3 linked regions of the Kluyveromyces lactis genome follow. The protein of the gene in region 3 purifies or fractionates together with the protein of the main gene of each other region. This does not show direct contact. Links are inferred from orthologs where the notes say so. Each region holds a gene or a part of one and is shown on either strand. Other genes may lie near its edges.

Region 1 (5,427 bases), about 460 kb from region 3:
TTGATATCTGACCTCTATTTTAATCGCGCTTGACTCCACAGATAATTCAAATACCAATTTAAGATGCCAAAGCTTGAACAATTTGAGATCAAAAAGTATTGGCAAATTTTCTCCGGATTGAAACCGGTGGAAAATAAGTTGACCCATGATCAAGTACTGCCTATCCTTTTCAATTCTAAATTGGACACCTCGATACTTAACAAAATATGGTTTTTGGCCGATATCGATGATGATGATCAACTAGATTTTGAAGAGTTTGTGATTTGTATGAGAATGATATTTGACATGGTTAATAAAAACATAGATTCTGTACCAGATGAATTGCCAGATTGGTTGATTCCCGGTTCAAAAGCCGAATTAGTCAAACAAAGAAAAACTGAACGTAGTAGCGGAACAGCAGAAACAAGTTCTGTGGTCAATGTTCCGACATCTTCGCCAGCTGTAGACGATTATCAAAAAGAAGTTGATTGGTATATATCAAGAGATGATAAGTCACAATACGAATCAATTTATGAATCAGCCATAACCTCTAGAGACAATAGTGTATCTTATGTTTCACTATCCTCCGCCGTTAGATCGAAGTATATCAATCTATCATCTCAAGATTTAGAAAAAACGTGGCGTTTGGTTAATCCTAAGCTTGACACTTCCATAGATAAGGATCCAGCACTATACTTTATTCATATTCTGAGACAAGTGAACGACTATGCTTGCCCAATACCATCACATTTACCTTCAGCATTGAAAGAAACTTTTACAAAGACTAGAGTTTCCACGGATTTGTCTTCCAAGCAGAGCGAAGTAAGAAGGCCAACACTATCCACATCTAACTCTTCATCTTACCAAATACCAAAACGTGGTGGTACTGATTTTTCTGTTACTCAGGGAACTGATTGGGAAGTAGTCAGACTTCAAAGGGAATTGGCAAATATTGACTCTGAATTATCGTCAGCACAGCAACAATCCACCTCTCATAATGACTCAAATGATAGAATGAAATTAGTAAAACAACAGTTAGAACAGTTCTTGGAATACCAAAAAAACCTTGTCAATAATTCCAATACTTCTTCAGAAAGCGTTGATGTTGGAGGTTTGAGGGATGATATAGAGAGTATTGAGCAGCAAGTACAAATGTTGGAGGAGTACCTGAAAACAAAGAAGTCGGAACTGCATAATTTGAAGATAGAGGTGCAATCTCTTTACTGAGGTTATTGACCTACCCTATATACTTTCTGGAGTAAATTTTGAACTACGTTGTTTCATGTATAATGATAATTCACTTCTTAGCTTAACTTTTTGGATATTAGAACGAAATTTAAACGTTTGTGGTGATTGCTTAGTACTAATTTAATTAATTTACATATGACCGTGCTGTCTATCGGCTGTTCTTGGTTTAGCCCTGATAATATTATCCACTCTCAAGAGGACTTCGGCTGCTTCGCTGGCTGAGGTTACTACAGCTCTTTTCAATTTATAACTTTCCACGATCCCTAGTTCTCTCATGTCAGCAATGGTGCCGTTATCCAAATCCAAACCTGATGTACTCATGCCGTTGTAAATCGAAGATCTTAACTTTGTGATCAATTCACTACTATCGAAACCAGCGTTGTCCGCAAGAATAGTAGGCAATTGTCTTAGGGCTTTTGCAAAAGATTCTACAGCAAGTGCTTTCTTACCTTCAACATTTTGCCCTACTGTGTCAACAGCTTTTGACATAATCATTTCGGCACAACCACCACCCAAAACAGTTCTGGTTTCTTTTGTTGTTTGTGAAAGGACAGATAAAGCATCATGTAGAGATCTTTCAGCTTCGTCTAATACTTGTTCGGTTGCACCTCTTAGTACAATAGTACAAGCTTCACCAGATTTACAACCACTGAACTTTGTGAAAGTTTCTTCACCGATTATGATTTCCTCGATGAGCTTACATTCACCAAGTTTACATTTTTCTGGATTGTCAAATGTCGAAACAACTTCACCACCAGTCACAAGTGCTAGTCGTTCCACACCTTCAAAATCAGCATGTTCAATGGAGTTAATTCCTAGATCTGTAAACATTTGTTCAGGGTAGTCGTATATCAACTGTCTGTTGATGAACGTGTTGATGTTGAAATTAGCAATCTTTTCAATCTTCTTTTTCATTTTTTCACGTTCAGCTTTCTCTAATTCTGCAAGCTTAGACGTAGAATCAACCTTGAACTTGGTACCAAAGATCTTGACCTTGTCAGTATCTAGAGAAGTGTTGGCAATCAAAATTTTAGCATTTTCCACGCGCTTTGGCTGGTTGCTACCAAATCTTTTTGGTAAGATAAATCCTTCATCTAAGAAAGAATCAGAAAGCTTACCACCAATGATCTTGATAATTTGAATATGTTCCAAATTGGTGGAACCCTTCAATCTGAGAATGGCATCTGTTGCCAATTTTGAGAAATGATCTTTATCTTGAGACAAAATTTTAGATGAAAGTGTCGTGTTTGCAATGCTGATCAAATCGTTGTAGAACTCTTCCTTATTATTCGAGTTATCCACAGCGGCCTTCTCCAATGCTGATAGAGCAGCCGCAGATGCAATTCTGAAACCTTCAATAATGGTTTGTGGGTGGATTTTTCCTTGTTCGACCAATTTCTCAGCCTCTCTCAATAGCTCAGCACTTAAAACTGTAACACTGGTAGTACCGTCACCAACTTCATCATCTTGGACTTTACTAATGTTCACAAGAACTTTAGCGGCGGGATTGTCCAATGGAATCGATTTAAGAATAGTAGCACCATCATTTGTTACCATGCTAGTGTTGTTAGATGCACTTTGAAGTAGCTTGTCCATACCTTTTGGTCCTAGAGTAGTTTTCACCAAATCACCTACAGCGATGGCACCGACAAAAGCACTCATACGAGCATTTTCAGCCCTTTCTTCGGTAACTTGATCCCCAAAAATCGGAACGCTCATTCTTACTTGATGTTTGGCGGACTGTTGCTAACTTTGTTGGAAGTAGAGGATGATCAAAAAGAATTGGCCACCGTGATATTTTATCTGGTATTCTGCAAACATACTTATTCCATCTTCATACAATTTAGTAGTTTTTTTTTTTCTGACGAAAAATCAACTACAGGCATATAACGTCACGTGAAAGGGAAATACCTGAAAACATCATAATTAACATTGCTTCTATCATCATTTCAGTCCGCAAATTTGGGGTAGACGATCTCATTGATAGCAACTCTCGGTAATTGCTGGGTCGAAAAATGACACCTGTAATGGCGTTTTATATACCAAACAAATAATTATTAATTGTGCATTGTTTAAACGGTATTACTAAATTCAACTTGGAAAGTCATTTTGAGTTCTTTAAATATTAAATGATCATTGATGCCAGAATATGTGTTCTCATTACTCGTTTCAGGCAAAGGGATCTCTTGTCGACGTATATTGATTAGGGTATGCATTATATCTTATATATAGTTTTATGAGATAACTTATTCATAACTGTTTTTATTATATGGGCGGTTCGCTTTCCAATTCTTTCAACCGCATTTGCTCTAGTTCTTGTTTATCATCTGTAACACCTGACATTGAACACCCAGTGAAGTCATCTAATCCACGACTATACAGTGGAACAGGGTCAGCCGGATAGCACAAAGTCATATCCGTATCCGTGAAGATACGAGAGGAAGGTGATGGCCCGTTATGTCTATGTAACAAATAGTCGTAAGCTTCGTCTATTGGAGATTCAGCGCTAGAGCATTGGTTGTAAACTGCATCCACATCATCAGGTAATTGGTTGATAGAATGGGAATCCAGACGGTCCACTGTGGGCGATTCAGGCTCATGTTCTTCTCTGTGTGTTCCGATCACAACTTCGATTGACATACCTGTAACGTTTCTTAGACGTTTGAGTCTGTCTACATTAATCAAATCTTGGAAAAACGTTACTGAATCATCTTCGCCAGCAGTAACCTCACCCTGGTTTGAGAGGTCTTGGAACATCGAAAACTTGTTCGACGGCATCGGTATACTACTAGTTCTCTGTCCACCCACAAGTCTATTGGACTCTGTGTATACCAAATTCTTCCTTGACAAATTTGCTAGGATCTCCACGTAATACTGGAAAGTGAAGAACTTATTCTTTAAATCCAAACTCGGGAAGGTGTCTAATGGAACCTTTAGTTTCAACATTATAACAGCTTCATGCGTTTCGGGGTCTGTATATAATGGGGCAACACCTTGACAGATATCTTTTCTAAATGTTTCGATCTGTTCTGTATTTCTAGGGTTTGAAACCCGAGAGATTCTGACCAACGTTGCAATCAACCCCGCAGGGTGGAAGTATTGTTTGTAATGAGTGACGTGGACTTTAACCGGAATTTCTTCTCCGATGGTGTATCCTAGACAGGGAATCTCTACCGAGATCTTGACAGTCTTGTTATCAGCGAGCATGGAAGCGTTGGAATTACCTGAATTATTTGAGCTTGATGAACCATTAGTGATAGTAGAGGATCCGCCTGTTTTCCTAGTCAGAGACGAAGCCCCGTCTTGTGGGTCTGCAGAACCTGCTGCCATAAGTCTTCTAACATGGATTCCATTATTGCTTGAGTTGGGTGATTGTAAGACCACCGTCTTGATATTTGGCTTTGGTAATTGGCCGACGTCTATTGGCACAATCAACTGGTAATGCTGCTTGCAAAAGATAGGAGGCGTCTTTTGGGCATGAAGCTCTGCTTGAACCCAATATCTTATGGAACCCTTCTTAAAATCTATCGAGCTCACCAAGTTCTTACCATTAATTTTACAAGAGAATGGAAACTTGTGTTCACCGCCAGTCAAGTGTAATGGATTCTCCTCACTACCATAAATACTCGTGGACCTGCAAAACACTGTATCAGAGTATTTCGATTTTAGAGAACCTGCGGTCATCGGGTTATTGGAATGGAGTTGAAACTCTCCTATATGAGCAAGTTTAATCCAAACATTAGGCACATCTTTTCTCAATCGAAGCTTCACAGTCCCACTGATAGTCTCGTTCGGTTTCCACACTCTGTGCACATCATCAAGTACAATTTCAAACTCCAAAATGTACGATTTCATACCGGAGTGCTTGAAAATGGAGCTCTTGCCAGCATTGCTCACTGAATCGAAGCTACTCACCACAAATGCACTAGGAGAACCTCGCTCAGCTCGTTCGTTCGACCGCAGAAGTTTATCAAATAATCCCATGGTCTAATTCGACTTTAAGCTCTTATATGGAGGCCAAAAATAAACGAAAGGAACACGAAAGAAAAATACAAGCCGGCACACAACCTAAGCACAATTATGTCTTCAAAAATCTAAAGCTCTCCCTTATCTTGTTTCACCCTTTGGACTCTATGTTCGTTTGGTTTATATATCCGTGATAGTAAATACTCGAAGATCCATGCTGTTATATAATGGCGC
Region 2 (6,179 bases), about 270 kb from region 3:
TTTCTGGCTCTTTTTTTTGGTTGTTTTGAATCATTGTCATCGTTTTTACCGCGCTTTCTTCTCTTACCCTTCTTGGTGGTGGCTGCATCGGGAACGATGCTGTTACGAACCTCTTCGTCGTACTGAATGAATTTTTCGTAATGTTCTACGAAGTCGTCTAAATCAATTTCCCATAAATCTTTAGCAGAAAGTTTTAATAGCCGTTCCAATTCTGTTTGTTTCTCTTGCATTTGTTTCATTAACTTTTCATATCTTTCCTTTGTCAAAGCCCAGATTTTCATACCTAACAAATAGTCGTAATTACCAAATTTCTCTTCTGGTCCGTTTACAACATCTTCACTTTCTTCAGCGTTGTCTTCTGCTTCGCTTTTCTCTTCGTCATCATCATCATCATCTTCGTCATTCAATGCTTCTATTTGTGCTTGCTCCTCGACTTTACCGTAGGTTGGTTTTCCTTCTTTGTTGATTCTTGGGAAACCCAAGGACATTAATTCTTCGAAGAGGACTGGACGAGGTTTGTTACTGACTGATAACTTTTTCTCAACGATCATCATAATGAATTTAACTTGATATGATAGCTTTTCAACTTCCCACTTTAGCCTTTCACCAATATAATCTTTTCTCTTCTGATAATAGGTGAGTCGAGTATAATAAAAGTCAGACAAAATGTCACGAACATCATCGTATTTTTTAATCTTCCCCTGAGGATCGAATGCAACCATGTTGCTGAGACTTACCGTAGAAACCAATTTGAATCTTTCATAGAAACCTATTTTTCTCGTCTTCTCCATTTCATCGGAAGTCAAGGTGATAATAAACTTGATGGTGGCTCCATGCTGTTCTTGTATGTCTTTAATCCAAGGCTTAACCTTATCATTACCACTTAAACCCAATAGTAAATGCTCCTTGATGACGGAAGTCCAAGTCTTGGGAGGCAGTTCCGTTATTTCCAACGTATTTTCATCGATTTGTTCGATTCTACCATAAGTACGATACTTTTGTGGATCTATCTTCTCCAAGGATCCCTGCCATCCCCTGTACCATGGCGCCATCTGCTCCATTTCCTCTCCCTTCATCAGACGCTTCACATTATTGACAATATCCATTGGATTGAAAGGAGGAATATTAGTACTCCAACCCGTACCAATACCTTCAGTACCATTTACTAAAACCATTGGAATAACCGGTAAATACCATTCAGGTTCTACAGTCTGTTCATCATCTTGAATATAATTCAATAATGGATCGTCGAGAGTATTGAAAATTTTTCTCGTAAGTTTGTTTAGCTCCGTGAAGATATATCTTGGCGCAGCAGAATCTTTACCACCTGTTGCTCTTGTACCGAAGGCACCATTTGGTTTCAACAAGTAAATATTATTGGAACCAACAAAATCCTGAGCTAGACCGACAATAGTTTGATACAAAGATTGTTCACCATGATGATACCCTGTATGTTCTGAAACATAACCACCTAATTGAGCGACCTTGATTTCACTTTTCAAATTACGTTTGAAGCAGGCATAGATAACTTTCCTCTGACCAGGTTTCAAACCATCTAAAACAGAGGGAATAGATCTAATGTTGTCTGCTAGAGAGAAAAGAATTAATTCTTTATTGATAAAATCACTGATTGGAATCTCTGTTAGCTTTGGATCTAATACAGTACCAGGCTCATACAATTTTAGCCATTCTTTACGGTCGTCCGCCTTCTTTTTTGAAAATGCTAGATCAATTAATTGAGAATCATCACCTTGCAAGGCATGGAATTTCTTCAAGTGCTTATCTAAACCTGAAAAGTACTCACGTGCTTCCTGTTGTGTCGACGTACCCAAACCCTTGTAATACTTCTGTTTCCAAGTGTACTTGTGAGACTCTTCTTCTCTCCACTTTTCGTAATCTGGCATGTTATAGAAAGAAATGGTTTCTTTCTTGGGTCTTGAGATTGTGATTTTAATGATGGGTGTGATAAATTCTATTAAAAATCCTGGAATATCGAGAAGACCAGGGAAGGAACTCTCCAGGAAATTAATGATCAAACCTTTGATATGTGAACCATCGTGATCTTGATCCGTCATAATCATAATATGACCATATCTTAAAGTTGTAGTATCTTCGTACCGCTTCTTATGCTGCAACCCCATAATTTTTTTTATGGCTTGAATTTCCGCGTTCTTACTGATTTGATCAGGGGTCGCTTCCCTAACATTTAACATTTTACCTCTTAAGGGGAAACATCCATAATAATCTCTTCCAACGACAGCCAACCCAGCAACTGCAAGAGACAAGGCAGAATCACCTTCTGTTAGAACCAAAGTACATTTGTAACCTTCTTTTGTTCCAGCCATATTTGCATCTTCAAGTTTGGGGTACTCAGTAATTCTGTTCTTTCTTGAACCATCAGTTTTCTTCAATTGCTTATGAGCATTCTCATCGGCAATTTCAAAGATCTTCGTCGCAAGATCAGTCTTCATTATTTTATTGATGAATTCTGATGGGACTTCGCACTTGGAACCGAAATCCTTGACCCTTGTCGTTAATTGTTCTTTGGTTTGAGAAGTGAATGCAGGGTTCTCAATTAAGCAATTGATGAAAATAAACATGTTGTTCTTAATTTGGAAAGGTTTGATTGTCTTCTTTTGTTTCTTCAAGCGGTCAGATACTTTCTTTATAATTTGATCTGTAACATAGTTAACATGTGTACCACCTGATGTAGTGGCGATCGAATTAACAAATGATATTTGTTGAAATGAGTTTTCCGATACTGCAAATGCAACTTCCCAACGATCATTAATTCTTTCATATAAGATAGTTGGGATTTTAGTAGGCTCTTGCATTGGTTCATCTGGGGTACTCGACTCTCTAAGTCTATTTAATTTGATCTTCTCTAGTGATTTCAAGTATAACTCGACGTAGTTTTTGAAGTTACGAATCTTTAAAGCTTTACCATTCAATGAGACGTTCACATCACGTACGGAACCATTGATATCATAGACACGACGCCTCATAACACCAACTATATCATCGTCAAGTTTGTCCATCCCGAATCTTTGAAGATCTGGTTTGAATATGACCTTTGTATAAGATGGACCTTTCTTGTAAGACGTAATTTTAGGCGGATGACACGTAGACATGTTGTTTTCCCAATTTTGGATATATTTATGCCCTCTAGAAGGATCAGCGGTCTCTAGTATGAATTCTGTGGAAAAAATATTACAAAGCTTAGCACCGTAACCGTTTCTACCACCTGTAACTTTCTTCTCATCGTCATCGTAATTAGAGGATGTCAAAAGATGGCCAAAAATTAATTCAGGAATATAAATACCTTCCTTATCATGAATTTCAACGGGAATACCCTTACCATCATTCTTGACTTCAATAGTATTCTCCTCTTGATTAATGACAACATCAATCTTCTTCATACTAGGATCACGAACCTTGTTATCTGCAGCGTTAACCAAGATTTCATCGAAAATTTTGAAAAGACCAGGGACTATATTTACAGTTTTTTCAATCATACAATCGGTTGTTTCATCATGAATCCATTGTTGCGATTCCTGTACTTCAACAGAACCAATGTATGTATCTGGTCTCTTTAAAATATGCTCTAATTGCGATATCTTCTGATACCGTTCAGAGACGGTCTTTGACTGTGTCATTCTTAAATCAGCAACACGTCCAAAAAAGACACACCAGAAAAAACGCTCTCTTCACTAATCCTGAGCTCCAATGACAGCTAATGATTTAATCAGATTTTAGGAGAGTACTAGTCAGTATTGATAAAACAGACACAAGACCTGGTTCCCTACTCCTTCTGTCGCAAGATAGAAGTGTTCATTAGATCTCATCAAAAGCCTTAGATGTTTTTCCTGTTTTTATTTTTCTAGAATTAAAGTACGCGTAACAAAACGCACTAAGACCAAAAAACGTTTTGAAAGAGACTAGATGGCATATCTACAGCTGATATTAAAAAGTGACATAAATCAAAGAAGAATACTGCATATATATACTGAAGGCAGCAAAAAATTCGTTGACGAGATCCAATTTATTAATTATTATGCGAGGGGGCTAATTTAGAGTCGATTTCAATTTAGAAACATTGAATTAGCTGGATCAAACGAGACAAAGTGTCCGGCCTCGAGATACGGCAGAAAGAAGAATTAGATAGTATGTGTTGGTTTGTAGTTTATTTTTTATGTATGAGCACTTCTTTCGTATCAACATATTACGCAGCACCCGTGACCTGGTTGTTTATTTACCAAGAGACTTGTCCTTGTGGCTACTTCGAAAACATCATCAACGTTTTCTCCTGTCAATGCACTGCATTCCATATATTTTTTAGCACCAATGGCCCTGGCAACTTGCTCCGCTTGCTCCCGTGTTACCATCTGATGTTCATTATCCGGTGATCTTAAGTCTTTCTTCAACCCAACTAGTACTACTGGAGCTTCAGGGCAATATCTGAGAACTTCTTCTGACCATTTATTTCTTGCATTCACCAATGATTCCGGGTCGTCGATTGCAAAACCAATGAGAATTATATCGGCCTTTGAATACGAGAAGGGCCTTAGTCTTTCATATTCCTCTTGGCCAGCTGTGTCCCATAGTGTTAGTTGAACTTTGATACCGTCCACTCGACAGTCGGTTACATAATTCTCGAAGACAGTTGGATGATATTCTTCTGGAAACTGTCCCAAAGTGAAAACATATAACAAAGATGTTTTCCCACATGCTCCGTCACCAATAATAACTAGTTTCCTTTTAACTGGATTGGTAGACATATTTTATGATATTGCATAAGTTTTGCAGTGATACTGCGTCTTTCTTGATTATGTTGATAGCTAAAATTCAAAAACCGACAAAGTTTGGAAAACAGCGTAGTGTAAGATCGTGCCAGAACAGAGAACTGCTTCAAACTTTCAAGTACCCAATTGCAAATAGAAAATTAGGGTGGCACGTATACATGCAAATAAAGGAAGATTCGACCTTGTTTCCTTCGAGCGTACGCTATGTTTATTCTTCGAAATCAGTTTCTTATTTCTTTAAAACAGCAAACCTTCTATTTTTCTATCTTTCAAGTTTCATTTTTTCTAGCCTTTTTCAAAGAGCCTTTTATTTTTCGAAATGATATCATATTAATGTCTGTCATGTTCCGCCGAGCAGTAGAAGCCCGAAAAAGAAAGGAAGAAGTGATCAATGAGACAGTGTAATAGATAGGACTATGCTTAGTTATTAAAATTAATTATAGCCCTGTTTTTGAATGAGTTCAAATATTCAATGATGATCTATCAATTGATGGTGTCTGATTGAAAAAAAAAAGATAATAGTGTTGTTACATTTATATTGGACGTTACAGTTCTACGTAAAACGAAGAAGGAATAAATTTTAACGGATATGTTCTCTTTTCTATCCACTCGTTTAAATAATTTAGTTGGATCGGATGATTCAGCTCCAGATATTGCCGGTTTGATATGAGTTTGGATACGATTGACCAAAGTTCACGAAGTTCGAAGGATCTGATGCGATTGTTGACGTTGGGCCTGGAATTGGATTCCCGTGATTCGCTGGTGAAGTAGTAGCTGTTTGGTTGTAATGAACATCGTTAAATACCGATGATGGTTGAGGTAGCGGGTTCGATATAGGAGTTGAAACTGAGTTTATTTGCTGCGAATCTGACTGAACTTGAGTGGTTGCATGAGGGAAAGTATTTTGTCTATTATAAGAAGGCAATCCTGATGGTACTGGAACAGAACCCATTCTGCAGTACGCCAATAAACCCGTGTTATCATTCAAAAGTTCAGTATTGTATGAATTCTTCATGGAAACCAAAGTGGAAATGAATTGGGGATACGACAGTACTGATTTGGCATTAATTTGAGTCAATGATGTTTGATATAGCTTGTCCAAGGGAACGAAACTATTGTCTGGAGAAAGCATCTTATAGGTCTTGGCTAGGACTTCCTCATATGAGTCAACAGATGTTGCTGCAACTTGGGAAGATAGCAGGGTGTTCGGAAGTGCTGGAGTAGATGTAGGTGTATCCCAGATATTCGAAGCAAAATTGTTAGCAGAGGCAACACCAAAGGTATTTTCAGCTCCAGTATCCCAAATAGATCTTCTTGGTTGAGAGTGTGACGAGGAGATTGGGTTCTGTTGAACGTGCTGTTGACCAAAGTTTGAGA
Region 3 (5,399 bases):
TATACAAGGCTAAGCAGTAACTCAGAAGAAGAAAGAGACGATTACTGAGGCAGCAAGGAGTGTTGCAAAGAGCCAACGTGTGTTGTTTTTTGGAACCTGGTGGGGTCTTTCTATTAGGGTTTCTAGTTGCATTTTAATTTTTGTCTCATTTTACAATCATCTGAGCCTGTAAGTTTGGCTTTGGTATTAATATCTATTATTGATCGTAAAACTTTAATATCTCCAAAGAGAAGAGGCGCAGAAAGTGGTGAACATTGAGGTCAGATTGACTTAAAAGCATATGATTACACGTACCCAAAACGGCTCGATGTTATTGAATCGAATAAACCATGAACCGTCGAATGATAGTGCAGAGGGATCGTGCAATAGTTTGTTCAAACCGAAGACTTTGAAACGGAAGAATTTGAAGCATTTGACTCTAGAATCATCATGTTCATCATCATCTTCCTCTCCTGACGAAATACCGAAAGGTTTTAGTAATGGAAATGGTCCAACACTCAGTTTGATGTTGGAGAAGCTTCCGGTCCGTGAGGAAATAAGTCCAATTAGCAGAGACACTTCATTCCAGACGGTTTCATTCCTTCAAGGGAGTTCTAGTACATCAGATATATCTTCCATTGTCAGCGGGACTACACCAACCACAAGAGATGCTCCAATGTCACTTACTCCTACAGGAGTCAGTATGATGCAACAGGAGACAGATGAAACGGCCACATTGACTACTCAGATTGCTCGACTTTCTTTAACCCCAGAGAACGGAATTCAACTCGAAAACCTTGTACGATTGAGCAAGATTGGAGCGGGAAATTCGGGTACTGTGGTGAAGACTTTGCATGTACCTGATTCTAGAATCATAGCTAAGAAAACTATACCAGTAGAGAATAAGGAAGTGCTGAAAAATCAACTTGTTAGAGAACTAACCATCATGAAAAATGTTTCAGCCCATGATAACATTGTTGGTTTCTACGGTGCATTTTACAATCCATCCACCACTAACGAAATAGTGATTCTTATGGAATATATGGATTGTGGCTCGTTAGATAAGATTTTGTCAGTTTACAGATCTGATTGCCATAGGAAAAACGTTTCTATATCGTGCAAGACATCGTGGTTCAACGAAATGCCTCTCTCAAGGATCTCCTTTTGTGTTTTAAATGGACTTATCTATCTTTATGACTGCTATAAAATCATTCACAGGGACATCAAACCGTCCAATATATTGATAAACTCGAAGGGAGACGTAAAGATCTGCGATTTTGGTGTCTCTACTACTCTAATTAACTCTCTTGCGGATACCTTTGTCGGAACCTCCACTTACATGTCACCTGAACGTATCCAAGGTGGCAGATATACTACTAAAGGTGATGTGTGGTCATTAGGTCTTATGATCATCGAGCTCAGTAGTGGTGAGTTCCCACTAGGTGGACATCACGACACACCAGAAGGGATTCTTGATCTTTTACAGAGAATTGTCAATGAACCTGCTCCAAAACTGTCAAAAAATGAACATTACTCCATAGAAATGACAGATTTCGTGAACAGGTGTTGCATTAAGGAGGAGAGAGGACGATCATCTTTGAAAGAATTGATATGTCATGATTTCATCTGTAAGTATAACAACAGAGACACTATTGCAAAAGAATTCAGGCATTGGTGCAAAAAAGTGAAGAAGCGGATCAAAGAGGATAAGATGATAAGAAGAGAAGAGACAGAGAGAAGTAAGATCGAAAAAAGACAATTAGAGAAAGCAGCGTTGGCTGTTACAGCCGCAAGGTCTTCGAGTACAAGGCGATGAAATAAATTAAGAAATTGCACTATATTAGGATAAATTGATGTCCTAGTTTGCATCTCATCTCAATAACGATCATTATTACAGGAACGGACTATGGATCAGTAGCATAAAGAATTTATATACAACTTATTTAGGACTTTCATATAGAATCGGAAATATTCACTAATGTCACTAAATCGAAAAACTATTACCAAACCTTATACTTTTTCTCTTTATTCCATAACCATCCTTCCGTTCCTCTATATATTCCGAAGGCAATCAAGGCTCCACCGAATAATCTTGCTGAAGATACCCACCATTTTGGATTCAGTTTTGCGAACTGTTCAACGGTTACACCTTTCTTCTTTTCAGCTTCACCGTATTGGAACGGTTTACCGCTGGCTAGATACCCACCAAATCCCAATGAGAATGCGGTTGCCATTATTTGACATGGAATACAATCTCTTGTCTCTTCATCTGTTAGATCCCTTTGTGCTGGTGGATTAAATAAACTTGTGATATTACTCGACATATTGATTTCTATGACTGTAGCTATAGTCCGAGAATGATATAGGATATCCGGTTCTTATCAGCTACCTGTGAAAGTGAAAGCTCAGTAGTATGATTATCTAGTTCTTCTTTGTTGAAAAGTCATGTCATCGTATCTCATGGATTTCAATATTGCAAAACGAAATTGCAATCAGACATCAAAAGATTTAGCCCATACACGCGTTTTGATTAAAGGATAAGTCATTGAAAATGACCAAAGGTAATCAAAGGTGCCCAAACCGCGTTCAGCAATGGGAGAATTGACTGAATTTCAGAAGAAGCGACTGGAGAATATCAAAAGAAATAATGATCTATTAAAGAAATTGAATTTGAATAACGTCTCTTCACAGATTAAACGCGAAGCTGGCGTTGAAGATGAGCATCTAGATAGAAAACGTAAGAAAAAGGCAGGTAGCGCTAAGAAGGCTGTCAAAAAAGAACCCAAACCAGCTGCAATTCCAACTAGAAGGTCCAGAAGACTCAGAGGTGAAAATGTTGATGGAAACGGTATTCCCAATGTCAATGACAATCAGCTGCTGAAAATGGGTCAAAGTGATAGTACTCCTGAATTAGAAGCAATTGACGAGTTAAAGAACACAGCACTATCTGGAGATGTAAAACTAAGTGATTTGATTAAATCTGAGAATGAGGAAGAATTGCTAGATAAATTTAAGAGCTTTGCTAACAAAAATTTCTCTTCTGGTGATTTCTTCAAAGAGTTACAGCAACAACAGGTTCCAACACCTGAAATAAAACAACTACAAGAAGATTTTGATCTAAAACTATATGATATATTTCAACCCAATGAAATCAAATTAACTGCAGAACGTATTTCTGCGACTTTTTTCCATCCATCAGTTGACAAGAAACTTGTGATTTGTGGTGACACGGCTGGTAATGTTGGTTTGTGGAACGTTCGTGAAACTCAACCTGAGGATGAATTAGAGGAGCCTGATATTACTAAAGTGAAATTATTTACCAAAAATGTAGGAAGAATTGACACATACGCCACGGATAGCAGTAGGTTACTAGCAGCCTCATACGATGGATATTTAAGATCAATTAATCTACAAGATATGAACAGTGAAGAAATACTAGTGTTAAAGAATGAGTATGATGATCCATTAGGGATAAGTGATTTTCAATTCAACTATAATGATCCGAACGTCTTATTCATGACGACATTGAGCGGCGAATTCACTACGTTTGACGTTCGTACCAAACCAACAGAAATTAATTTGAAAAGATTGTCAGACAAAAAAATCGGTTCCTTCAGCATAAACCCTAAGCGGCCCTATGAAATAGCGACCGGATCATTAGATAGAACACTTAAAATATGGGATACAAGAAAAATTGTCAATAAACCAGAGTGGTCACAATACGAAGACTTCGCATCCCATGAAATTGTTGCTACATATGATTCTAGATTAAGTGTCTCCGCAGTATCATATTCTCCGATGGATGAAACATTAGTTTGCAATGGATACGATGACACAATTAGATTATTTGATGTCAGTGGAACACTTCCGGAAGATCTTCAACCAAAACTAACATTAAAACATAATTGTCAAACTGGAAGATGGACAAGTATATTGAAGGCAAGATTCAAGCTTAACATGGACGTTTTTGCTATTGCCAACATGAAAAGAGCAATTGATATATATACTAGCTCAGGTGTTCAACTTGCCCATCTACCGACAGCAACCGTTCCAGCAGTTATCAGCTGGCATCCGACACAGAATTGGGTAGTTGGCGGAAATTCAAGCGGTAAAGCCTTCTTGTTCACTTAATGATCAACGGAATCAGAAGATATAAAAGGACAGTAACGATGAAAAGCTACTTGTACGTTTTTGAGTGTATATATTTTGAGTTTAATTATCATTGATAATAACTAATGCTAAATATCGTTCTTTCTAAAGCGAGGAAAAACGAGTTAGTGTTAGGAGTTATTCGTATAATTTGTTCTGTTTTAATCGTAGTTGAAAAGAAATAGGATATCAGCTCGTTGATAAGCTATTACTTCAATAATATGATAGTGAAATCAAAGATACTATTGAAGTAAATGAGTCAACAATAACCCAGTTGACAGGAAAAAAACTTCGAATCGTAATAACATCCATATGAGAGAATGAGGGGGTAATGCTATGCTAAAGGGGATTCTATCAAAAAAAAGAGCTCTTTAGTTGAGACTGCACGAATGCATTTAGAATGTAAATCATGTTATCAGAATCAAGAGTCTCATTTTTTGTTTGTAAAAGAGCGATGAAACGCGATAAGAGAAAGGGTAAGGCAAAGAAGTAGGTATACCTGATCGACAAATATGACGGTTCATGGTAGGGCACCTGGGATCTCATCCTTATAATAGATCATCAAGTGTCCTTTGAAACCTTCACCGTTAGGATCATAATTACCCTTGGAATCGACCTCGTTTTGACCGAAGTAGAAGTCCAAATAATTTCTGAATCCGAAATACTCGTAAACAGATTTAGCCTTATCAGATATGGCTTCTAAGACCATAGCACAATTCTCTTCATCTGCCCTCTTCTTGTATGAATCAAATATGGCTCTAACGGAGCCTCTGATTTCAGGATGAGTAAGATCCTTACCAATGATGAACAAATAGTAATAACCAATGCCTGGTGGTAACAACTCCTTTGTTCTGCGACCTAACTGAGTGAAGAAAACGTCATTGAACTTTGGATCATTGGTTTCACTTTGATGGAAATGAGTCTTCGGAGTAGTCCAAACGGCGACTGCGTCAAAATTGTTCGCTTCAACAACTTCTGCACCGAAATCATCGTAAAGATGCAAGAAATATTTCAACATGGAGTTGACTCTTTCCTTACTACATTTGTCGGTGATGGGAACGTTGAAGAATTTCTTCATCAAATAATCGTTAGCTGGAGAGTCCGCAAACGCTTTATCTAAACATTTGCTTGCTTTCTCCAAATCATGCGTTTGATTCAGTGGAATCACGGTTCTAGAATGACGTTCTTTGTTAATCTGCGAAGAAGCCTCTTCTCCGGGCGAAACTGGTGGTGAGATAACACTCATTGTTCAAAAGGCGTACTTTGTAATG

Evidence for each region. The genes of interacting proteins can lie anywhere in the genome.
Region 1: the proteins of CMR1 (region 3) and CCT2 purify together in Saccharomyces cerevisiae (affinity purification with mass spectrometry; 3 studies listed by BioGRID, with this or other methods). This does not show direct contact. The link is inferred for Kluyveromyces lactis from reciprocal best matches to the Saccharomyces cerevisiae genes CMR1 and CCT2.
Region 2: the proteins of CMR1 (region 3) and TOP2 purify together in Saccharomyces cerevisiae (affinity purification with mass spectrometry; 3 studies listed by BioGRID). This does not show direct contact. The link is inferred for Kluyveromyces lactis from reciprocal best matches to the Saccharomyces cerevisiae genes CMR1 and TOP2.

Annotation. Positions count from the first base shown.
Region 1 is NC_006039.1:984,054-989,480, forward strand, and holds CCT2 (chaperonin-containing T-complex subunit CCT2), read right to left. Parts: upstream 2,947-5,427; coding exon 1,357-2,946; downstream 1-1,356. Other genes in the region: END3 (End3p), read left to right, coding at 64-1,206; RIM8 (Rim8p), read right to left, coding at 3,493-5,211. UniProt on the Saccharomyces cerevisiae protein: Molecular chaperone; assists the folding of proteins upon ATP hydrolysis. Known to play a role, in vitro, in the folding of actin and tubulin. In yeast may play a role in mitotic spindle formation.
Region 2 is NC_006039.1:1,182,011-1,188,189, reverse strand, and holds the start of TOP2 (DNA topoisomerase 2), read right to left. Parts: upstream 3,657-6,179; coding exon 1-3,656. Other genes in the region: Rho family GTPase RHO2, read right to left, coding at 4,215-4,778; NST1 (Nst1p), read right to left, coding at 5,443-6,179. UniProt on the Saccharomyces cerevisiae protein: Control of topological states of DNA by transient breakage and subsequent rejoining of DNA strands. Topoisomerase II makes double-strand breaks. Essential during mitosis and meiosis for proper segregation of daughter chromosomes.
Region 3 is NC_006039.1:1,447,577-1,452,975, reverse strand, and holds CMR1 (Cmr1p), read left to right. Parts: upstream 1-2,571; coding exon 2,572-4,110; downstream 4,111-5,399. Other genes in the region: mitogen-activated protein kinase kinase STE7, read left to right, coding at 281-1,795; DMO2 (Dmo2p), read right to left, coding at 1,980-2,303; IAT4 (Iat4p), read right to left, coding at 4,649-5,374. UniProt on the Saccharomyces cerevisiae protein: DNA-binding protein that binds to both single- and double-stranded DNA. Binds preferentially to UV-damaged DNA in vitro. May be involved in DNA-metabolic processes.